Linked DNA regions of Callithrix jacchus. The protein of the gene in region 3 interacts with the protein of the main gene of each other region in a pairwise test. Links are inferred from orthologs where the notes say so. Each region holds a gene or a part of one and is shown on either strand. Other genes may lie near its edges.

Region 1 (7,790 bases), on a different chromosome or scaffold from region 3:
GCAACACGGGCACTGAATGATCGTTTCCACACTTTCTTAGCTTTTCTGGTTGGTGTGTAGAAAGATCAATATCCTGTCTTTGTAAGTTATCACCTTATTCATTAATCAACACAACTTCATTGAGCACACATATTGGCCGTGTACCATGCTGTGGTTAAAAACAAAGTTCTGTTCCCATCAAGCTGACATTCTAGTGGGAGATACAGACGATAAACAAGTGAATAAGTAAAACATGTGTCAGGTGGTCGGGCGCAGTGGCTCACGCCTGTAATCCCAGCACTTTGGGAGGTAGACGCCGGTGGATCATGAGGTTGGGAGTTCAAGACCAGCCTGGCCAATATGGTGAAACCCTGTCTCTAATAAAAATACAAAAATTAGCTGGGCATGGTGGTGTGCACCTGTAGTCCCAGCTGCTTGGGAGGCTGAGTCAGGAGAATCACTTGAACTTGGGAGGTGGAGGTTACAATGAGCAGAGGTCACACCATTGCACTCCAGCCTGGGCAACAGAGCAAGACTCTGTCTCAAAAAAAAAAAAAAAGAAAGAAAAAAATGTGTCAGGTAATCATAAGCACTATGGAGAAAAATAAATCTGGGAACAGGGAGATCAGAGGACAAGGAAGGCAGGAGTGCAGGTGATTTTAGCAAGGGAGGTCCAGGAAGACCTCTCTGAGGGGTGATGTTTGAGCAGTGACTTGAACAAATGGAAGGAGTCAGCCTCGTGGTCTAGTGGAAGAGCATCCAGGCAGCAGGTTCAGCAAGTGCAAGTGCACGTGGGCAGGAATGTGCTCGCCCCAACTAAAAAAAATGTAATCTCTGTTTTGGGGTTATTTCCCCCATGTCACCCCAACTGGTTTTTTTTTTGTTTTTTTTTTGTCTTATTCTGTCACCCAGGCTGGAGTGCAGTGGCATGATCTTGACTCAATGAAATCTCCACCTCCCAGGTTCAAGTGATTTTCCTGCCTCAGCCTCCCGAGTTGCTGGGATTACAGGTGCACACCACTATGCTTGACTAATTTTTGTATTTTTAGTAGAGACAGGGTTTCACCATGTTGGTGAGGCTGGTCTTAAACTCCTGACCTCAAGTGATTCTCCCACCTAACCCTCCTGAAGTGTTGGGATACAGGTGAGCCACTGCACCCAGCCCAACTGGTTTTTAAAGTCATGTACTTCAACTTTTTAAATCATGGATTAAATATATATGTGTCTCATTTATTTTTCTTCATGGCATAGTCAACACAACATGCAAAGGATTTAAAGTCAGACAAAAAGAAGTGAGTATACTAGTTCTGCCACTGATCGGCTGTCTGGCTTCTAATAAGTCATTTCCTTTTCTGAACCCAGTCTTACCATTGGTAAAATGGGACACACATTTCAGGCTAGGGCGAGGTTTTGCTGTGATGCCCATAGACCCCTAATACATTTCCCATCAACCTCATCACCTTCATCCCATGTTCTTTTTCCCTTCCTCACCCCTTTGATTTTTGGTTGGGTTTTTAGAGCAGGCCAGGTTTTTTCCTGCCTCAGGGCCTTTGCACTGCCTATGTCCCTACTCGGAAAGCTTATTCCATGGGCATCTCTGGGTCATTCAGATCATTTCCCCAGAGTCCCTGTTGAACCATACTTTCTAAAATGGGTGCCCCCTTCCAAAATACTCTATTCCAGACCACACGCAGTGACTCATGCCTGCAATCCAGCACTTTGGGAGGCCAAACCGGGCAGATCACCTGAAGTTGGGAGTTCGAGACCAGCCTGGCCAACTTGGCAAAACCCTGTCTCTACTAAAAATACAAAAATTTGTCAGGCTTGGTGGCACATGCCTATAATCCCAGCTACTCAGGAAGCTGAGGCAGGAAAAATCACTTGAACCCGGGAGGCAGAGGTTGTAGTGAGCCAAGATTGTACCACTGAACTCCAGCCTGGGCAACAAGAGCAAAACTCTGTCTCAAACAGCAACAACAAAAAGAAAACAAAACGCTCTATTCCTGCATCTTTCTTGGTTCCTTTGCGATACTCGTCCACATTTGTCAATATTTAGTTTCGGGGCACTGGCTTCCCAGTGGGCATGGGGGAGCAGAGTCCATGACTGTCAGTGCGGTTGGACACACAGCTGGCCATGCAGGCCCAGGGCCAGCTTGCTGAATAAAGGTTGGCAGTCAAGCCTAGAGGACAGGAGCTGTGAGGGTGATGGGCATCAGGTGCCTTCTGCATCATCCGCTCTTCTGGAAGATGCTTTGAGGGTTATTTTTCCGTTTGAGTGATTTGTTATTTTTCAGTTATCTGATGTTTGAGGCCATATAGCATAGCAGTTAGGAGCACAAACAAAAGGCCGAGCATGGTGGCTCATTTCTGTAATCCCAGCCCTTTGGGAGGCTGAGGTGGGAGGATCACCTGAGGTCAGGAGCTTGAGACCAGCCTAGTCAATATGGTGAAACCCCATCTCTACTAAAAATATAAAAATGAGCTGGTTGTGGTGGCGCATGCCTATAATCCCAGCTACTCGGGAGGCTGAGACAGGAGGATCCCCTGAACCCAGGAGGCCAAGTTTGAAGTAAGCTGAGTTGTGCCACTGTACTCCAGCCTGAGTGACAGAGCCAGACTCTGTCTAAAAAAAAAAAAAAAGCACAGACAATGGTGTGCACAGGTTCAAATCCCAGCTGTGCTGCTTGCTGGCTGTGAGGCCTCTCAGCTTCCTTAACTATAAAACGAAGCGAGTCCTACTTATAAGACTGTGGTAAGGGCTGAATGACTTGGTAAGTGAAGCACTTAGTGCAATGGCTAGCACATGGTAGTGTCTAACAGGTCAGCTGTGACTGTTTGCAATGTTTGCAATGCCAGCCTCAGCTCCCGGGAGTCCCCAGCTGTGCTCACATCATGCTCTGCCCACAGGTGTACCCCATCCACGAGGCCCTGGCCGTGCTGGAGCCCTACGCGCGGCTGCCCCCACACAAGCATGTGGCTCAGCCCACTGAGGTCCTGGCTGGTACCCAGCTGCTCTATGCCTTTTTCACTCGGACCCACGGAGACATGCACAGCCTGGTGCGAAACCGCCGCCGCATCCCTGAGCCTGAGGCTGCTGCGCTCTTCCGCCAGATGGCCACCGCCGTGGCGCACTGTCACCAGCATGGTCTGGTCCTGCGTGATCTCAAGCTACGTCGCTTTGTCTTTACTGACTGTGAGAGGTGAGTGTGGTTGCAGAGATCCCAGCCACAGACAGACCCAGGGGGTGGGCCATGATGGAGAGAAACTGAGGCCCAGGAAACAAAGTAACTTAGGTAAGAAGTAGAGAGGCTGGAGTAACTAGCAGCCCCTGTCTGGTAACCAGAGAAGAGTTGACTCAGGCTGGGTGGGTGCCGTGGCTTATGGCTGTACTCCCAGCAGTTTCGGAGGCCGAGACGGGTAGATCACCTGAGGTCAGGAGTTCGAGACCACCCTGGCCGACATGGTGAAACCATGTCTCTACTAAAAATACAAAAATTAGCCAGGAGTGATAGCTGACAACTGTAATCCCAGCTACTCGGGAGGCTGAGGCAGAAGAATAGCTTGAACCTGGGAGGCAGAGGTTGCAGTGAGCCAAGATTGTGCCACTGTACTCCAGCCTGGGCAACAGAGTGAGATTCCATCTCAAAAAAGAAAAAGAGTTGATGAAGTCCTCTTGGGGGCTCCTTGGGATGCTGGGATGGGGCACTGAGATGGGAAAGTCACAGTAGCTGACAGTGAGGAAAGCACCGCCGCATTATCTACCGTGGTCTCCTTCCTTACAAACTCAAGGAAGGCATTATTATTATCCTCATATGATCAAGGAAATTGAGGCCCAGAGAGCACAAGTAACTTGCCCAAGATCTCACAGCGAAATAAATGGTAGACCTGGGATTTGAACCAGAGCCTGGGTCCTATTTCAGTCTGAGCTAGAGGGACAGGGGTCCTGGCTGGGCTTACCAACTGACTCTGGGTGACCTAGTGTCTCTGAGCCTCAGTTTCTCCATTAGTAGGGAAAAGGGCTGGATTGTTAGGGTGTTTTCAGAATTCCAAGACCACACTCAAAACAAGACAGGGTCTGAGGTTCCCCACACAGGAACTTTTTCTGTGAAACTGAGAATTAGCACTTTTTGGTTAAAATTTAATCTTCCTTCTCTAGGTTGGGAAGCTAAAATTTTTTTTTTAATTGAGACAGAGTCTCCCCCGTTGCCGAGGCTGGAATACAATGGCGCAATCATGGCTCACTGCAACCGCTGCTGCCCAGGTTCAAGTGATACTCCTGCCTCAGCCACCTGGGTACCTGGGACTACAGGCACGCACCACCATGCCTGGCTAATTTTTTTCTACTTTTAGTAGAAATGGGGTTTTGCCATGTTGGCCAGGCTGGTCTCAAACTCTTAACCTTAGGTGATTCACCTGCCTTAGCCTCCCAAAGTGCTGGGATTACAGGTGTGAGCCACCACACCTGGCCTAGATGCTAAGAAAAATTTTTAAAAGATAATTCTTCTGGGGGTGGGGAGGGCAGAGGGACTCACCTCCTGAGGGCATCCAGGATGTGTCAGGGAGTGCACTAAGCTGCCAGTTACACAGAATTTTTCTGTGGAGGAAGGAGTGTGACCCCAGCACACTTTTTAAAACTTTTTATCTTGAAATAATTTTAGACTTTTAGAAAAGCTACAAAAATAGTTCCAAGATTTTCTAAAAATCCTTCCCCCAGTTTCCTCCAATGTTAACACTTGCCATAGCCATGGTACAATTACTCAAACTAAGAAATGAACCTTGGGAGAGTACTATTAACTAAGCCACAAATTTGTTCCGGCTTCCCGAGTTTCCCACGAACACCCCTTGCTGTGCAGGATCCAGTGAGGATCCCGATTTAGTTATCAGTGGTTTCCTTGGCCTCGTCTAATCTGAGACAGTTCCTCAGTCTTTCCCCGTCTTTGATAACCCATGATTTTTTTTTTTTTTTTTTGAGATAGGATCTCACTCTGTCACCAAGGCTGGAGTGCAGTGGTGTGATCATAGCTTACTGCAGCCTTGAACTCCTGGGCTCAAGTGATCCTCCCACCTCACCCTCCTGAGTAGCTGGTTTACAGGTGTGTGCCACCATGCCTGGCTAATTGAGATGGGGTCTTGCTATACTGCCCAGGCTGGCCTCGAACTCCTGAGCTCAAGCAATCTGCCCCCCCTCAGCCTCCCAAAGTGCTGGTATTATAGGTGTGAGCCACTGCTCCCACCATAACCTTGAGACTTTTGAAGAGTACTGATCAGTTACTTTGTATGTCCCTCAATTTGGATTTGATTGACGTTTTCTTAAAGTTAGATTGCAGTTTTATATATATATATATATAATCTCTTTAGAGATGGGGTTTCACCATGTTGGTCAGGCTGGTCTTGAACTCCTGACCTCAGGTGATCCACCCACTTCTGCCTCCTAAAGTGCTGAGATTACAGGCGTGAGCCACCGCGCCCAGCCGTGGTTATATATTTTTGGCAAGAACAACACAGAATTGATAGGTCCCTCTCCACATCATATCATTGAGTTGATAGTCATTACTGTGTTGTAACCTTGATCACTTGGTTAGGGTAGGACCTGCCAGGTTTCTCTCCTCTAAGGTTTTTAATTTAGCCTTTGTAATGGATAAATACCTTGGGGTAGGTAAGCTAAGCATATAAATATCCTGTTTTTCCTCAACTTTCCCCTACTAATTTTAGCAGCCATCCATCTTGCCTGTAGCAGTTATTACTGTGGTGCTTGCCTAAGACTAATTTTCTTTTCTTTTAAGACAGTCTCGCCCTGTTGCCCAGGTTGCAGTGCAGTGGCATGATCCTGACGCCCTGCAACCTCTGCCTCCTGGGTTCTTGCGATTCTCCCGACAGCCTCTTGAGTAGCTGGGATAACAGGGACACACCACCACACTTGGCTAATTTTTGTATTTTTAATAGAGATGGGGTTTTGCCATGTTGGCCAGGCTGGTCTTGAACTCCGGACATCAAGTGCTCTGCCTGTATTGGCCCAAAGTGCTGAGATTATAGGTGTGGGCCTCCGCGCCCAGCCCCAAAGGCTGATTTTCTATTAATATTTCCTTTTACATTTTATAGTAAAAGAAGCATGCCTTTTTTAAAGAAGTAGAATTTATAATGACTTTTAAGCTAGTGCATAACTTCAAACATATTTTAAGCTCAGAGTAGATACAACTACCCCAGACCTTCTGGAAGAGAGAATGTGCTTCCTGCTCTTTTTAAGAAATCATCTGATGGCTCATACCTGTAATCCCAGTGCTTTGGGAGGCCTAAGCAGGAGGATTGCTTAAACACCACAGTTCGAGGCCAGCCTAGGCAACATAGTGAAACCCCATCTGCACAAAAATTTAGAAAAATTAGGCAGGTGTGGTGGTGCACACCTGTGATCCCAGCTACTTGGGAGGCTGAGCGCAGACGTTTGAGGTTGCAGTGAGCTAGGATTGCATCACTGCACTCCAGCCCAGGTGACAGAGTGAGACCCTGTCTCTAAAGAAGAAAAGTCACATGAGAGGCACTGGTAGAAGAGAGACCGTGAGTTAGATAGACCTGTGTTTAAATCCTGGGTTCTGCTTCTGACCGGCTTTTTGGCCCCGAGAAATGACTTCACTTGCCTGAGCCTTTGTATCTTCATCTGTAAAATGGGCCAATAATGCTGACACTCCTCGTCCCTCAATACTGTGATTCATAGGATTGGTCGGTATTTGTGAAATGCCAATGGACACCCAGGAAGTGGTGCCATAAAGAAGAAATGAATAGCAGTGGTAACAGAATGATTGCTATGAAAGTCATCTTAGAGTGCTCTGTTTAAACTAGAAATTGCAAATGGCAGGATACACTTTTTTTTTTTTTTTGAGATGGGTTCTCACTCTGTCCCCCAGGCTAGAGTGCAGTGGAGCTATCACAGCTCACTGCAACCTCTGCCTCCTGGGCTCAAATGATATCCTCCTGCCTCAGCCTCCCAAGTAGCTGGGACCACAGGCGTGAGTCACCACACCTGGCTAAGTTTTGTATTTTTTGTAGAGATGGTTTCACCATGTTGCCCAGGCTGGTCGTGAACTCCTGAACTCAAGTGATCCACCTGCCTCGGCCTCCCAAAGTGCTAGGATCATAGGTGTGAGTTACCGCGCCCAGCCTTACACACACTTTTCTTTTTGCCCTGCTCCTGTTCGTGTTTTTTATTGAAACTCATTGCCAATATTTTTTAAATGGGGACTTTTTCATTAAAATAGGATTCCTGACTCTCTTGGGGAAAAGAATGGGAACATGGGGCCACCTTGAAAACTACGAGAGTGGGTCACAGCACTGGCTCTGGGTATCTGCGAGCCAGGGTTCCCATCCCAGGCTGATGCTCTAGAGCTGTAAAACGGTGTCCTTGCACGTTGTAGCCTGGATAGAATGAGATAAGCCAGGTAATAAGCTGGGCCAAGGGCGAAGAACACAGCGGACACTTGATAAACCCTAGAATGTGTCGTTGGTGGTGCCCTTTTTAGGCAGGGCTTGCGCTGAAATGTCTGGCACTCTTCCCTAAGTTTGGACCCTAAGTTTGCATCTGGTTTAAGAGAGGCTTAACTCTCTAAGCCCCATCAGTCCCCTTCCCAAGGGACTGTTGAGAAATTTATTCCGTTCAGAATGTTAGTTTAAATTTAATTGCTCTGTGGCCTTAACTGACTTAACCTCTCTGAGCCTGGGCTTAGTTTTCTGGAAAACAGGATCAGACATCAAAAGACTGACTTGTGTCTGTCAAAGACCAGCAGGCACTTGAAAGTGGGTGCCACTAAGGTGACAGTATG
Region 2 (7,790 bases), about 3.0 Mb from region 3:
TAGAAAAATTAGGGCATCAGGCACAGTCTAAATGACTTTGAGTTGCAAGAGGTGTCCCTTTCTATAGCCAGTGTTAGGAAACTAGGCCATGGAGCAAAATCAAAGATATTTTATAGGGACTTACATGATGAGAAAAAAACATATTTTCACAACTTTTTGGTGACAAATTCAAAATATAAAAACAATAATAGGCTGGACACAGTGGCTCATGTCTGTAATCCCAGCACTTTTTGAGGCTGAGGCAGGAGGATCACTTCATTTCAAGGAGTTTAAGTCCAGCCTGGGCAACCTGGTGAGACCCATTACTTTTTTTTTTTTTTTTTTTTTTTTTTAAGACGGAGTTTCGCTCTTGTTACCCAGGCTGGAGTGCAATGGCGCGATCTCGGCTCACCGCACCCTCTGCCTCCTGGGTTCAGGCAATTCTCCTGCCTCAGCCTCCTGAGTAGCTGGGATTACAGGCACACGCCACCATGCCCAGCTAATTTTTTGTATTTTTAGTGGAGACGGGGTTTCACCATGTTGACCAGGATGGTCTCGATCTCTTGACCTCGTGATCCACCTGCCTCGGCCTCCCAAAGTGCTGGGATTACAGGCTTGAGCCACCACGCCCGGCCAAGACCCATTTCTACAAAAAGTTTTTAAAAATTAGACCCGGCACAGTGGCTCACACCTGTAATCCCAGCACTTTGGAAGGCCAAGTCAGGTGGCTCACTTGAGGTCAGGAGTTCAAGATTAGCTTGACCAATATGGTAAAACGCCATCTGTGCTAAAAATATAAAACATTCGCTGGGCATGGTGGCATGCATCTGTAATCCCAGCTACTCAGGAGGCTGAGGCAGAAGAATAGCTTGAACCCAGGAGGTGGAGGGTTGTAGTAAGTCGAGATCATGCCACTGCACTCCACCCTGGGTGACAGAGCAAGACTGTCTCAAAAATAAAAAAATTTTTTAATTGCCCTGGTGTGGTGACACAAACCTGTAATCCCAGCACTTTGGGAGGCTGAGGTGGGCGGATCACCTGAGGTCAGGAGTTTGAGACCAGCCTGGCCAACATGGTGAAACCTCGTCTCTACTAAAAATACAAAAATTAGCTGGGCATGGTGGCGGGTACCTGTAATTCCAGCTACCTGGGAGGCTGAGGCAGGAGAATTGCTTGAACATGGGAAGTGGAGGCTGCAGTAAGCCAAGATCACGCCACTGCACTCCAGCCTAGGTAACAGAGCGGGACTGTCTCAAAAAAAAAAAATTCACCAGGCAGGGTGGTAAGTGCTTGGTCTCAGCTACCTGGGAGGCTGAGATGGGAGGATCACTTGAGCCTAGGAGTTAGAGACTTCAGTTTTTGCGCTGCTGTACTCCCTATCTCAAACAACAACAAAAACAGTAATAGTTGAGTACAGTGTTTTGGTAATATAAGTGCACTCTTGAGAAGAATGAAACCCTTAAAATTCAAAATTCATCATCTGAGGTTCAGATGGTCATCTGTAAGGCCCTTATTTGCTCATGGTTATATAAAAACAGGTGAAATTTTGTTATGTGTATTTTACCACAATAAAAATAACTTGAGACTGGGTGCAGTGGCTCATGCCTGTAATCCCAACACTTTGAGAGTCCAAGTTGGGTGGATCACTTGAGATCAGGAGTTCAAGACCAGCCTGGCCACGATGGTGAAACCCTGTCTCTACTAAAAATACAGAAATTAGCCGGACATGGTGGTACGCACCTGTAATCCCAGCTATTTGGGAGGCTAAGGCAGGAGAATCACTTGAACGAGAGGCAGAGGTTGCAGTGAGCCAAGATCATGCCACTGCACTCCAGCCTGGGCAACAAAGCAAGACTCCATCTCAAAAAAGGAAAAAAAAAACTGGGAAATAATACAAAAACAAGAGGTGGGCCAGGAAAAAAAAAAAGAACTGGGAAATAATAAAAAACAGAGGTCGGCAGGTCATTCACTGTTTGCTGACCATGGTCTAAAGTACCCGTTTGGTTGTTTCATGTGCTTTTCATCTGCCTGGTCCTAGGAATCCTGGTTTCTCTGAGAGGGGGGGCCACCTAACTCAGTGCTACTTGATGCTGCAATGTCTCACTGTGTTGCCCAGGTCTCACACTCATGAGCTCAGGTAATTCTCCCACCTCAGTTTCCCAAAGGGCTGGGATTACAGGCATGAGACACCACACATACCTTAGTTGCCACACTTCTGAGGCAGGTGTTATCTAAGTCAGGGATATTCATAAGCTTACTGCACAACCAACTGTGCTCCTGGGAGAAGCTGTTGAAATCCTTACTTTGGTCAGAAGGAGTGTGGCACAGAGGAAGCATTTGATTTGTAGCACATAGGCATTATGTGAAAAGATTGGTAACACTGTCATAGGGGCTTTTCCTTTTTTAAAAGTTTTCTTTGTAAACTTTTATCCAAAGATTGAAAGAAGCCATAAGTGCAAGTAAAGAACAGGAGGCAAAGTACCAGGCCAGTCACCCAAACCTTAGAAAGCTGGATGATACAGGTGAGTGGAGATCTGTGTGCACACCCACTTTTGAATTCTTGGGGGAGACCTCTAGGTTTGGTGTTGGTCCTTGGGAGGCAGTGGCAACCTCTCTGGGGAGGTGGGCTGGGGCCCCAGCTGCTGGCATCACCCATGCTAGCCGAACGGCCTTAGGGACCCAGCATGCTCTCGGGGACCTGGGGGTGTGCGTTATGGTGGGGCACCTCCCTCCTTCACTCCCTCCATAGAGGGGAAAATAAGGAAGTGGGGGCCTGCATTTGATTGAAAATGAGCCTGCCCAGCCTTGGGAGGTAGCACATGCCTGTAATCCCAGCACTTTGGGAGGCCGAGGCAGATGGATCACCTGAGGTCAGGAGTTCACAACTAGCCTGACTAACATGATAAAATCCCATCTCTACTAAATACAAAAAAAATTAACTGGGCATGATGGCACATGCATGTAATCCAAGCTACCTGGGAGGCTGAGACAGGAGAATCACTTGTACCTGGGAGGCGGAGGTTGCAGTGAGCCAAGATTGCGCCATTGGACTCCAGCCTGGGCAACAAGAGTGAAACTCCATCTCAAAAAATAAAAAAGAAAATGAGCCTGCCCACCATCGGTTCCTGCCTTGTGTTGCTCTGAGTTGTTCCAGCTGTTCCAGCAGTAAAAAGCCGACTACAGAAAAACCCCTTTGGTAAATAGAATAATGGTCGCCCCAAAAGTTGTCCACGTCCTAATCCCCAATCTCATGAGTGTGTTAGATTATATGGCAAAGGGGGAATTACAGTTGCAGATGGAGTTATAACTGCTAATCAACAAGATGGGAAGATTATCCTGTTTTGTCCAGTTGGGTCCATTGTCATCACAAAGGTCATTTTTAAGTGAAAAGGGAAACAGAAGAGAGAGAGGCCGAGTCAGAGATCTGAAGATGCTGCTGGTCTTAAAGATGGAGACAGGGGCCACTTACCAAGGTACGAAGGTAAGTGAAACTGCAAAAGGCAAGGAATTAGATTCTTCCCAAGAGCCCCAGAAGGAGTGCAACCCTGAGGACACCCTGACTCAGCCCAGTGTGACCCATGTTGGACTTCCAACCTCCAGAACCGAAAGACAAGTTTGTGGTCATTTGTCACAACATCAGTGAGGGACTAATACAGCCTTCAGCCCAGGCAGGAGGAGCAGCAGCCACATGAACAAGATGTGCAAGACAGTGAGTGTTGATTGAATTATCCCACTTGTATCAAGTGATAAGCCCAGAAACATTCCTTATCTGAAAAGGAATTTAAGACTCCTGGGGCCTCCTCCAAAGGCCCCCCAAAAGCCAGGTACATTGAAATTGGTGTTGGAAACCAAAGGTTTACTTTGCTGCCTTCAAGAAAACAACACACCTTGAAAACTCTGGAACCTACCATGGTTGTGGTTGATGCAGCTGAGGAGAGATCAGATGGAGGAAGAGCTGGGAGCAGGAGAGACTGACATCATCAGCACAGTTCAGTCTGGAAATGCAAGTGGAGGAAGTGAGTGTAAATTGAAAGGCAAGGGCTGGGAAAACCCGCCTCATCATACCCTGGAGAAGTGCTGTAGGACACTTCACCCAAGACACAATTTTAAGGAATTAAAGAGAGTTTTCATTTGTGTGGTATATATTAACCTGAAAGACTGAAAAAAAAAATTGACACAGTTTGCAGAATGGTTTCAGTTGGTTGATGCTGGAGGAAATATGCAAAGTCTAGAAAGTGACATTTCCCCAAAAGAGATAACTGGGATGATAGGGCTTTTCTGTGTGCATTTAGAAACTAAAGTTCATTCAAGCTGAGAAAGATAATTTTAGTAAAGAAGAAAATGAAGTTCAAGGAAGATTTCTCGGGGCAAGTGTGGGTTAACATTTCTTTTTTGCTTGTTTCAAGTGAAAAGATAGCGTAGAAATTTAGAAAAAAACAAAATTACCCATACTTCCATTTCTATAACGTAACAATTAGTATTTTTAGACCTTGTCCACAGCCTATGTAGTTTTGTGTTATTGCAGTTCCACTGGTATATCATCACTTGTGTGACTCTCTTTCCTGAGCTTGTGCACCAGTGTCTGAGTAGGTGACCCTTAGGTTGAGGGTCTTTGATCTCCCAAGGACTAAGGGAAAGCAGTAACCCTCCCTTGCCCTGTGGAAGCGTCTCTCCTTCTGACCCATGAGCCTGCCCCGTGCTCCTCCGTCATCCGTCTGGATGGCCTCAGAACCAACCCCCTCGTTCCTTCCACCCATTTTTCAGATGAAATTGTTTTGGGTATATGAAACAGCATTTGAAGAAATGTCAAGTAACTGCTCTCATGGTGTTTGCTTCTAAACTTAGACCCTATCCCTAGAGGGGCTGGTTCTGCTGTGAATACTGATGCTTACCCGAAGAACCCACACCTTCGAGCCTATCACCAGAAGATCGACAGCAACCTAGGTAAGACTGAGCACCACACCAGCTTCTGTAAGCCACTGTCCTTCAGGCAGCTCTCACCAAGCACAGCCCCTGCATCAGGAGCCTATAGCTTCAGCTCCCTCACCACACATCACATCCCACACTAAGCCAGGTCCATTTTGCCACTTCACTGTCTCTGGAATCTGTCCACTTCTCACCATTTCCTACTTCCAGCCCAACTGAGCCGTCCTTACCTCTCTTTCATGATAGCACCCAGGGACCCAGGAGTCCCTGAGAGGCCATCGAGTGTAGCCTGGACATGACCGCTCACTCCATTTTTCCCATTGGCCACTCAGAGCCCTGTTTTCCTCTTCTGTGAAACGGGATGCCTCTGAGAACAATGGGACAATTACCTGAGCCAGAAAGTGCCTGGCATGGTAAAAGTTAGCACTAGTGTTGCAATTGGCACTTTGGTGACACAGCCTCCAGCATGATGTTTCAAAACAGAAGCGAGTGCAGGGGGCTGGGCGCGGTAGCTCATGCTTGTAATCCCAGCACTTTGGGAGGCCTAGGCGAGTGGATTGCCTGAGGTCAGGAGTTCAAGATCAGCCTGATCAACATGTGAAACCCCATCTCTACTAAAAAGATAGACATTAGCCGGATGTGGTGACAGGTGCCTGTAATCCCAGCTACTCGGGAGGCTGAGGCGGGAGAATCGCTAGAGCCTGGGAGGTGGAGGTTGCAGTGAGCTGAGATTGCACCATTGCACTCTGGCCTGGACAACAAGAGTGAAACTTGGTCTCAAAAAAAAAATTAAAAGGGAGTGAGGGGGTATATTCTTCCAGAACTCTCTCATGGAACCCACACACACTCACCATGCAGTCCAGGCTCTCTCTGCCTGCCCTAGTACCTTCTGCCCTCATCACCTGCAAGCTCATGTGAGATTTCTGATATGAGTTCTTTCTGCCTCGTGACCCTTATCTGCCTGGAGTGGCCTCCTCCGACTCTGCAGGCTGGCTCCTTCTCCTGTCAGTCTTGCATTAGTGTGGCGTCCTCTCCCCATCTCTTGGGGCCCTTGTGTTTCTAGGGGGCTGCCCTGGTCATTTGTGATTGTGTATCTGCTGGTTTGCCTGCTGTCTTCCCAACCAGACTGCAGATTCCAGGCAGCATGGGAGTGTTTCCATTTTGTCACTACTTTGTACCTGGGGCCCAGCAGGCAAGCACTTAGTGATTATTTTTTGTTTTGTTGTTGCTGGTGTTTTGTTTCGTTTTTTGAGATGGAGTTTTGCTCTTGTTGCCCAGGCTGGAGTGCAATGGCAGAATCTAGCTCACAGCAACCTCTACCTCCTGGGTTCAAGTGATTTTCCTGCCTCAGCCTCCCGAGTAGCTGGGATTACAGGCATATGCCACCACGCCCAGCTCATTTTGTATTTTTAGTAGAGACAGGGTTTCTCCGGGTTGGTCAGGCTGGTCTCAAAATCCCGACCTCAGTCCCGCCTCGGCCTCCCAAAGTGCTGGGACTGTAGGCATGAGCCATCGGACCTGGCCAGTGATTATTTATTGGAGAAGTCAGTAATTTAAGTAGGTACTGGCTTGTGGGCAGTTCCGTGTCTTTGTTCTAGGTAGTGTCTCAGACTTGCTGCCTCCTCTTACCGCTGCTCCATTAACAGAAATCTCCCCCATGGTTACCTGGGTCACCCTGTTAGTCTCCCAGCCCCTGTTTGGAGCTGGCAAAGTGAAGAGGAGAAATAATAAGATTCCCACCCCCACCCCCACCCCCCGCCCACTGCTGTAAAGATATCTAGTGGGAGGCAAAACTGAAACTCATGAAGATGCACATGGAGTGTCTACGCACAGGCTTGCTCCTGCTCACTCTCTGGGAAGCCCCAGACAGCCGCCGCCTCCTTCTGTTTCCTGGACTCTGTTCTCCAGAGCCAAAGACTTCTCCGAGGTAGAAGGTGTGTCTACCCAGATCTGACTACTCCAGAGAAACCCAGAGAGGCTTGAAAGCCCTTTGTCCTTCACCAGGAGAAAGGGAGTGGTTAGAGCAGGTGGTATGGTTGGTGCCTGCTGGCAGGAAGTGGGAGAAGGGACATTGATGAAGGATACTGAATTCCAGGAGACAGGACAAAAAGCTAAGTACTGCCCGCCACTAGGGGTCTAAGGGTGCACAATTGGCACTATGGACTTGCAGCTGGGCAGGTCCTGGCAGGACGAAGTCTAGAGTAGGAGGTAGGCCAGGGCAGAAGGGCGGGTGGCTGGTTCAGAGCTTGGCCCTCCAGCCCTGCTGACACAGGTCAGGCCAGCCACTCTGGTGGGGCAGGGGGTGTTGCTTTTGCTCACACTCTTCCCATCTTAACACACCCTCCCTGCTATTTCTGGAACTCAGGCAGGCTCTTGACTCCAGTGCCCTTGCCTGGTTGCTTTACATTATCACACATTTTATCTTAGCCTCACTGTTTGCTTATCCTTTGCTGCCCTGGCTGCCAGTGAGCTTCCTCCTGAGGTCTGAGGCAACCACAGGCTCTACTCCATGGAGCATGAGGCCATGAGTTTCAGTAAGCTCCAGAAGCAAAGAGCTGAAGACTATCTTTTTTTTTTTTTCTTTCAATTTTTAAATTATACTGTTTTTCTCTTTCTTTTCTTTTTTATTGTTGCTTAGGCCAGTCTCCAACTCCTGGGCTCAAGCAATCCTCCCACCTCAGCCTCCCAGAATACTGGGATTACAGGCATGAGCCACTGTGCCTGACCTGAAGATTATCTTTTTATTTTTTTATTTCTTTTTGAGATAGAGTTTCACTCTGTTGCCCAGGCTGGAGTGCAGTGGCCCAATCTCAGCTCACTGAAGGCTCTACCTCCCAGGTTCAAGCAATTCTCATGCCTCACCCTCCCAAGTAGCTGGGATTACT
Region 3 (8,144 bases):
ACTTGTCCATATTCCACACTTGGTGACTGTGCTCCCTGCACTCCACTCAAGTTGAGAGTTCAAATAATCTTGAAGGAGAATCAGCTTCAGGATTGAATGACCCAGGAGAGTCCCCGAGGGGGTTTCTGTAAATAGAGACTACTGCGTGTGTCCAGATCTCCCTGCCATGGTAATTCCTTGGGACTCTGACTTGGCTGAGAACTTAATGCTGGGATTTGTTAGAACTCTGCCCTTTTATCTGAAGCTCAAGGCCAAGGAGAATTATAGGAGACTTAGGGTAGAGCTGACCCCTGTAGCAGGCTCAAGGCTGCATCCCTTTTAGATCCAACTTAACTGTAAGTGGCCAGAATACCAGAGATGTGGGGTCTGTGGTCAGCTGCACATGAGGTGTTTACCTTTACATTTTGGTCACCTGTAGTCTTTAAATTCTTGGTTCCTGAGGCGAAGCCCACAACTTGCCTTCTAGTCACTTGCCTGCCCACCAGTGGTGGTTGATGTGTTAGCTGGTAAATTTGGAATCAGTCACCAGTCTTTCCGTCCTGTCTTGGCTAAGTCTATTTAGGTAGAGTCAGCTTAGCCCTGAGACCCAGAGACCTGCTGTCCTTTTTCTCCCTGAGGGAGGAAATGAAACTGGGGAACACAATGTCCTTCCATAGCATGGGAAGAAGAAAATAAAATCTTTCGAACAGCTTTGACTTGTGTGTGGCGGATCAAACATTTTCCTGTGGGAGTGGTACTGGGTCTCCATTTTCAGCTAGGGGAACCTTTGAAGTGTTTGAGCTAGGTCTCTATAAGAGAATGTATGGGACAAACTGCTAATGGAGTCATTCTTCCACGACCTTTTCAGTGTCGGAACGGGAAGTGTTACTTTAATTCTTAACCATCTGCACTATCCATCAGGAGGTAGGTTTTTTTCCTTGAGACATGTCTCACTGTGTTACCCTGGCTGGAGGGCAAAGGTGCGATCTCTGTTCGCTGCAACCTCTGCCTCCTGGGTTCAAGCAATTCTAGCTGAATTACAGGTGCCTGCCACCATGCCTGGCTAGTTTTTGTATTTTTTTTTTTTAAGTAGAGACGGGGGTTTCACCATGCTGGCCAGGCTGGTCTGGAACACTCGACCTCAGGCAATCCTCCTGCCTACACCGCCCAAAGTGTTGGGATTGCAGGCATGAACCACCATGCCCGGCCAGTAGTGTCTTGTCCTGTGGCTCCCTAGATCTGCCTTTGGAAGATGTGGTTAATGGCTCAGGGATTCTTACTGCATTTGCATGAAAAGGCTAGACAATTTCCTTTTTTTTTTTTTTTAAGACAGGGTCTTGCTCTGTTGCCCAGGCTGAGTTCCAGTGTTACAATCACAGCTCACTGCAGCTTGGAACTCTGGGCTCAAGCAATCCTCCCACCTCAGCCTGAGTAGCTGGGACTACAGGCTGGAGCCACTGCTCTGGAACCAGCTTCTGTATATCTCGACACTCATGATTCCCCAAGGAGAAAGAAAAACCATACTTTTATTCCAGCATCCAGTATGCCTTGTGTATACCGGTTGTTTCCTTTCAGTAAATAATAGTGAAGAGTCCTCTGAGGCACCAGGAGGATGTGATGAAGACAGTGACAGAGGTCAGGGTAAGGAAACCTGAGTTCTATGACCGGTAGCAGCAACAGCAACCATTATTGGTTACGTGTTATCAGGTGCTGTGCTAAGTGCTTTACATGTATGATTTCACTTCATGGGGTAAGGAGACTCATCAATAGCCTCATTTTACAAATGAGGAAACCGAGGCTCAGAGAGGATAAGTCACTTAGCCAAAATGTCCCAGCCAGGATTCTTTTGCGTGTTCTCCCCAAAATGTCTTCCAACTCCTACTCCAAACTCCTTCCACTGGGAGCTGCGTGACTTTGAGCAAGAAGCTTCATCCCTTTGGGCCTCCATTAGAAAGGATTTCTTTGGGCGAGGTTGAATGAGCGCAGCAGATGGCCTGTGGTTACAGCAGTGCTTCCCCGGTTTTTTTGTATCACAGCGCTCATAGAAATACTTGTGTGGCTCAGTGAAATGGAGGCGGAAGGTTTCCACCTTCGCGGGGCCTGACTGGAGGGAGCTGGGGGACTATGGGGAGGTTTCTTGTATTCTTTAAACAGACTACCCCTTCCCAACGCACAACCCCCAGCAAGTGGCCGTGGGTTCCCAGGCGCCTCTCCTCCCAGGGCCATGAACGTGACTGCTGAAAAGCGGGTTAGGCTGGGGAGTTCAGAATCCGGAGTGAATCGAAACTACCCCAGAGAGACGGCAGCGAAGAAAAATCCTGTTCCTAGGGGAACAGAACGGAACCTGAGGCCACCAGAAGTTCCCCTCTGATGCAATTCCGTAGCAGCCTTGCACTTGAGCCGGATGAGAACTGTAAAAACCCAGGTTGGACGACAGGATGGCGCGTCTTCCCGGCTCCTTTCCAGAGTTTAGGAGGGGCCATGCAGACTCAGCCGGCCTTTGCGGGCAGGTAGGCGAGGACGGGGCGCCCTCTTAAGACCCCTTCAGCCTTCCGAGGACAGCACCATGTTGGCTATGGATGGGGTCTCTGGAAGACTCAGGCTTGGTGCAGGTAACCCCGCGGCTTCCGCAGGCCATAAATCAGCGCAGCGTGCACCGAAGAAGCGCGCAGGCTGGGAGCGGCGACATAGCCGCCAGCGCGGACCTCCATTGAGGGCGGCGGGACCGACAGCTGGGGCCGGGCCTCGAGGCCGCTGTGGGTCGCATGGCACTAAGGCCACCTGGGGGCAGAAGTCGGCGCGATCATGGCGGGCTAGCAGGCGGGAGGGGCTGAGACAGAGCAGACAACCCCGAACCCCGGCCCTTCCCGCGCAAGCCCTGGGCTCCCTCTCGCAGCAGCCACCCACCTAGGGCCCTGAGCCAATAAGAGCTCGAGGTATATATGACTCACCGCGCCTGGGCCAATCAGCTCGACGCGCGCTCTACACCAGCACCTCGCGCGATAACCTGGCGGCCTCGGCCTTCACAATGAAAACCCTCTGTGGGAAAACCACCTCTCCCCGCCCACTGCGCCGACACCGGAAGCGAGGCGTGTCTGAGAGATCACTCCGCGCTCCGGCGGCAAAGGTAAGAACGGACTCTTTAATCATAGAAACTAATAAAGTAGTGCGCCTCTCTCCTTTCATGAGGCCATAGAAACAAATTCCTTTTCCTGTCACAGCTGCGCCCGGACATAGGTGGTGGGGGCGTCAGAGGGAGGGAAGCGAGCAGACGGGAGGAGACGGTCACGTGGCTGCTGCGGAAGGATAAGTCTGTGCTGTGTTCCAGCGGAGGCGAACTTTATAAAGGGCCGACGGGCGGCGGCTGCGGCCATTTCTACTTCTCTCTCTCATAGATGTAGTTCTTCACGCACGTGCGCGCCTTCCCTCCTCCCCGCCCGCAGGGTCCAAGGCCACCATGGCGTATTAGGGGCAGCAGTGCCTGCGGCAGCGTTGGCCTTTGCAGCGGCGGCAGCAGCACCAGGCTCTGCAGCGGCACCCCAGCGGCTTAAGCCATGGCGTGAGTATCCGGGCGGGCTATCCAGCCGTGCTCCCTGGGTCGGCGAGGGTTTTGGGCTGGTGGGGCGCGGCATGGGGCCGGGACGGTGCCGCCAAGAGGGAAGCGATTTTACGAGCGCCAAGGACGCTGTAGTCTCTGCTTGGGTGTTTCCGAGACGCTCGCGTACCCGGGGCCGGGAAAGCGCAGCTAGGTGCCAGGACTGCTTCCCCGGGGGTCTCGCCACCCTCGTACCTCGAGACGTTTCCCTGAGGGTCTCAACTGTCCCACCCGCGAAACGTGGCAGAAGCCAAGATGGCGGCCGCAGGGCGGCGCCGCGGGCGTGAGTCACGGGCGGGCGGTGGGCGGGGCGTAGCCGCCCTGGCCGTATTTGGACGCGGAGACGGAGCGCTTTCCTGTTGGCCAGTGAGGGAATGGCCGGTCCTCCACGATCGTCCATTTTGTGGAACCTGAGCTGGAAGCGGGGGGAGGGGGGCTGGGGGGGGAATACATCTGCCCTGTCTCTAGATGGCCGGTTTAGCCGTCCCACCTCATAAGTGGAAAGATGAAATTCTTAGATCAGCTAACGTAATGGGACTTGGCTTCTGATTCTTATTCAGGCTTCTCACGGCATTCAGCAGCAGCGTTGCTGTAAGCGACAAAGACACCTTCGAATTAAGCACATTCCTCGATTCCAGCGAAGCACCGCAGCATGACCGAGATGAGTTTCCTGAGCAGCGAGGTGTTGGAGGGGGACTTGATGTCCCCCTTCGACCAGTCGGGTTTGGGGGCTGAGGAAAGCCTAGGTCTCTTAGATGACTACCTGGAGGTGGCCAAGCACTTCAAACCTCATGGGTTCTCCAGCGACAAGGCTAAGGCGGGCTCCTCCGAATGGCTGGCTGTGGATGGGTTGGTCAGTGCCCCCAACAACGGCAAGGGTGAGTAGGCTGCCACCAGCCACATCCAGGTGGGATCTGGGGTTAGGGGCTTGCTATCTTTGTGTCTGACTCACTGGGCCCATCACTCGTATCTTTTGCAGAGGATGCTTTCTCCGGGACAGATTGGATGTTGGAGAAAATGGATCTGAAAGAGTTTGACTTTGATTCCCTGTTGGCTACAGATGACCTGGAAACCATGACAGATGAGCTTTTGGCCACGTTAGATGACACATGTGACCTCTTTGCCCCGCTAGTCCAGGAGACTAATAAGGAGCCCCCCCAGGCGGTGAACCCAATTGGCCATCTCCCAGAAAGTTTAACAAAACCCGACCAGGTTGCCCCTTTCACCTTCTTGGAACCTCTTCCCCTATCCCCCGGGGTCCTCTCCACCACTCCAGATCATTCCTTTAGTTTAGAACTGGGCAGTGAAGTAGGTATCTCTGAAGGAGATACGAAGTCAGACTCCACTGCTTACATAGCCATGATCCCGCAGTGCATAAAGGAGGAAGACACCCCCTCAGATAATGATAGTGGCATCTGTATGAGCCCAGAGTCCTATTTGGGCTCCCCCCAGCATAGCCCCTCTGCCAGGGGCTCCCCAAATAGGAGCCTCACATCTCCAGGTGTCCTCTGTGACTCTGCCCGTCCCAAACCTTACGACCCTCCTGGAGAGAAAATGGTAGCAGCAAAAGTAAAGGGTGAGAAACTGGATAAGAAACTGAAAAAAATGGAGCAAAACAAGACAGCAGCCACTAGGTACCGCCAGAAGAAGAGGGCAGAGCAGGAGGCCCTCACTGGTGAGTGTAAGGAGCTGGAAAAGAAGAACGAAGCTCTAAAAGAGAGGGCAGATTCCTTGGCCAAGGAGATCCAATACCTGAAAGATTTGATAGAAGAGGTCCGCAAGGCAAGGGGGAAGAAAAGGGTCCCCTAGTTGAGGGTAGTCAGGAGCGCAAGGTGCTTGTACATAGGAGTCTCTCGCTGTAGCTGTGTGTGTGAATAAATTATTTTGTAGTGAATACTTCCATGTGTGTAATTCCTTTTGGCACAGTAACAGAGTGAAACCGCTACCATCCGCCTGCCCCATGCTGGTCTTAATGTGCCCTGTGCAATCTGGGGAGGAGGGCAGTCTAAGACTAGATTTGTACCCAGGGTGGGATTTGCTTATCCCTGCTAGGTGTAGACCATGGTGGCTGATGACTTTGATGGGGCTCTCTAGAGCTGGTTGTAGCAAGCTGGGTTTTGGCCAGAGCTGAGTGCTGGTCAGGTAGGGAGGCGGTTTGAAGGGAGGAACAGCCTGGGCCTTCACCTGTGTGTTCAAGGCCTTCGTGCCAACATCCTGTCACATAAAACCCTGGGCAAGGTTGCACACTCCTTGAGGTGAGCACGTAGGATTAGGTTTCACTTATAACCTAAACAGTTCTGCAGAAGCCTCTGAGAAACAGCTCCTTTTGGGACTTGATGTTGAAGCAGGACGCGGGCTGGAGACAGGCCTCTTTCTCCTTACCTGGGGGTGGAAATACGACATTCTGCACAGGTTCTGGTTAGAGCTGGGCACTAAGGCAACAGTGAAGGCTGTTGTGCCTGCCGCTACCTAAACTAGAAGGCCTGATGTCCTCGGGTTATGTTAGGATGGAGCAGCACTTAGAAGCCAGGCAGTATCTCACTGCAGTTTCAGACTTACCCGTGGGTGGGGCGCATTTGCCTTTTCAGGCAGGCAATGCCTTTTGGGTTGTGGATGAATGCTTGAATGCAAGGATAAGCCCAGCCTGGGCAGATCTGGCCTTTTGTGTCTGGGTATCAGCCAAACCAGTTTTCCTCATGTGGAAGGTGGTGTAGACCAGGTGTGTCCGGGGAGCGTCTGGGAGGAGAGTGAGGGTGAGTGCAGCCCAGCCACTGCTCTAACAGCACAGCATGCGTGTCCTTTAATCCAGTCCCTGCAGAAATCTAATGGCGCAGACACCACACTTGCTCGCTGCAACCCCTGCTTCCCAGGTTCAAGTGATTCTCATGCCTCAGCCCCCTGAGTAGCAGAGATTATAGATGCTTACCACCACGCCCAGCCAATTTTTGTATCTTTAGTGGGGATGGGGTTTTTGTCATGTTGGCCAGCCTGGTCTTGAACTCCTGACCTCAGGTGATCGCCTCCTAAAGTGCTGGGATTATAGGCGTGAGCCACAGCGCCCAGCTCACCCAGAAGGATTTTGAGCAAAGAGGTAGAGCTGGGATTTGAACCCAGGACTCGATCTCCAGTCTGGGCTCTTCATTTTGCCTCTTGAGCTGGAAACAAATGGCCTGTAATGACCAGCATGCTGGGGCCCACATGGCCAGCATAGACTGTCACCTGAGAGCCAGCTGTGGATGTGTTGCATGCCACTCGTAAAGAAGTTGCCCAAGGCACCAGTGGGAGTGGGCATCACACATGGGTCTTGGACCTCGTGCTCTTAGAGGTCTTTCCTGCCGAGATTCTAGAATTCTCCAAAGGCCATGGGCTTCCATCCACATCCAGGTTCTAAATAGGCGTAGGGTGTGATATCAGTCATCCAGTGCCAGTGGGGGTCGGCCCTCATTTGGCAGATGAGAAACAGGCACCAAGAAGGGCAGTGTGGGCCAGTGGTGTGAAGCCAGGATGCTGGGGCTGTGCCCTTCCCAGGCCCCTGCAGCTCAGGCCTCCCAGACACAGAAGGCACCAGCTCAGGCCACAATGGCTTTGCCCTCTTCCCTGACCTCACCTCCTCCCCTCACTGTACTCCAGCCTTTTCTCCATCTGTCTGTTAGGCTGGGTCCTGCCTCAGAGCCTTACACTTGCTGCTCTCCCTGCCTGAGAGTTTCCCTTGGCTGCCTCCCACCCTGTTCAGTCTGATGCTACTGCAGGAGCCTTCCAAGGTGACCCTGCTCATGTCCCAGACTATCCTTTGCCCTGTTGTATTTTTTTCATAACTTTTTCTCCATTGAGTTTATCTGTATACAGATCCACTTTCTCTTCTCCATTCGCAAACTACAATATAAACTCACTCTATGACAGCAGATATTTTGCTGTCTTGTTCATTCCCATATTTCCAGGACTACAGAAGTGCCTGGGAAATAGCAAAAATGACTGCAGCGAACATGTTCAAAGAGCTCTGGGGCTCTAGGTGCCTTCCAGTGATGAGCTCAGAGTCCTCCTGAGAGGCAGTGGAGGGTCTTATGACTGTCCCCCTCTTGCTGATGCAGCTGAGACCCAGACTTAGGCACCCTTGGGAAGCCTGGCCTGGGGGTAGACACTGGCCCAGCGGCAGCTGGTATAGGCAGTGATAGCAACCTGGACAGACCTCTGCATTTGGCTGGGCAGGTGTCTGTTCCAGAGAGCCCAGCACAACAGGGGTATGGGAAGAGGGGGCAGGGATGAGGTTGATGTCCGGCCACCACCCTGCATGTGGCAACTTGTGGCCCCTGCCGGGCCTTGGCTAGCCCAGCCTGGGCTGACCAGGTCAGACGTGGAGCTGGGTTTTATCCAGTGACCAGGGACCCAGGGGATAGGAAGGGGCCTCACAGGCAGGAGTGGTTGGCTCTCAGCATTTTCTCCTGCTTTATGTCAAGGCTGTAGGCTGTGGAAAGCAGAGAACAACCTTCATCTTTTCTACTATTCCCGTGAGCCAAGTAGATAAACAACCTGTGCAGTGAGCTGAGATTGTGCCACTGCGCTACAGCCGGGA

Evidence for each region.
Region 1: the proteins of ATF4 (region 3) and TRIB3 interact in binary tests that used the Homo sapiens proteins (3 or more experiments, as listed by UniProt). The link is inferred for Callithrix jacchus from reciprocal best matches to the Homo sapiens genes ATF4 and TRIB3.
Region 2: the proteins of ATF4 (region 3) and SNAP29 interact in a two-hybrid assay, tested with the Homo sapiens proteins (2 studies listed by BioGRID and IntAct). The link is inferred for Callithrix jacchus from reciprocal best matches to the Homo sapiens genes ATF4 and SNAP29.

What each region holds. Positions count from the first base shown.
Region 1 is NC_133506.1:8,139,674-8,147,463, forward strand, and holds part of TRIB3 (tribbles homolog 3), read left to right. Parts: intron 1-2,886; coding exon 2,887-3,179; intron 3,180-7,790. UniProt on the Homo sapiens protein: Inactive protein kinase which acts as a regulator of the integrated stress response (ISR), a process for adaptation to various stress. Inhibits the transcriptional activity of DDIT3/CHOP and is involved in DDIT3/CHOP-dependent cell death during ER stress.
Region 2 is NC_133502.1:193,240,895-193,248,684, reverse strand, and holds part of SNAP29 (synaptosomal-associated protein 29), read left to right. Parts: intron 1-2,415; coding exon 2,416-2,501; intron 2,502-4,824; coding exon 4,825-4,923; intron 4,924-7,790. UniProt on the Homo sapiens protein: SNAREs, soluble N-ethylmaleimide-sensitive factor-attachment protein receptors, are essential proteins for fusion of cellular membranes.
Region 3 is NC_133502.1:190,269,434-190,277,577, forward strand, and holds ATF4 (cyclic AMP-dependent transcription factor ATF-4), read left to right. Parts: upstream 1-3,347; 5' UTR 3,348-3,538; intron 3,539-4,134; 5' UTR 4,135-4,226; coding exon 4,227-4,452; intron 4,453-4,553; coding exon 4,554-5,383; 3' UTR 5,384-5,468; downstream 5,469-8,144. UniProt on the Homo sapiens protein: Transcription factor that binds the cAMP response element (CRE) (consensus: 5'-GTGACGT[AC][AG]-3') and displays two biological functions, as regulator of metabolic and redox processes under normal cellular conditions, and as master transcription factor during integrated stress response (ISR).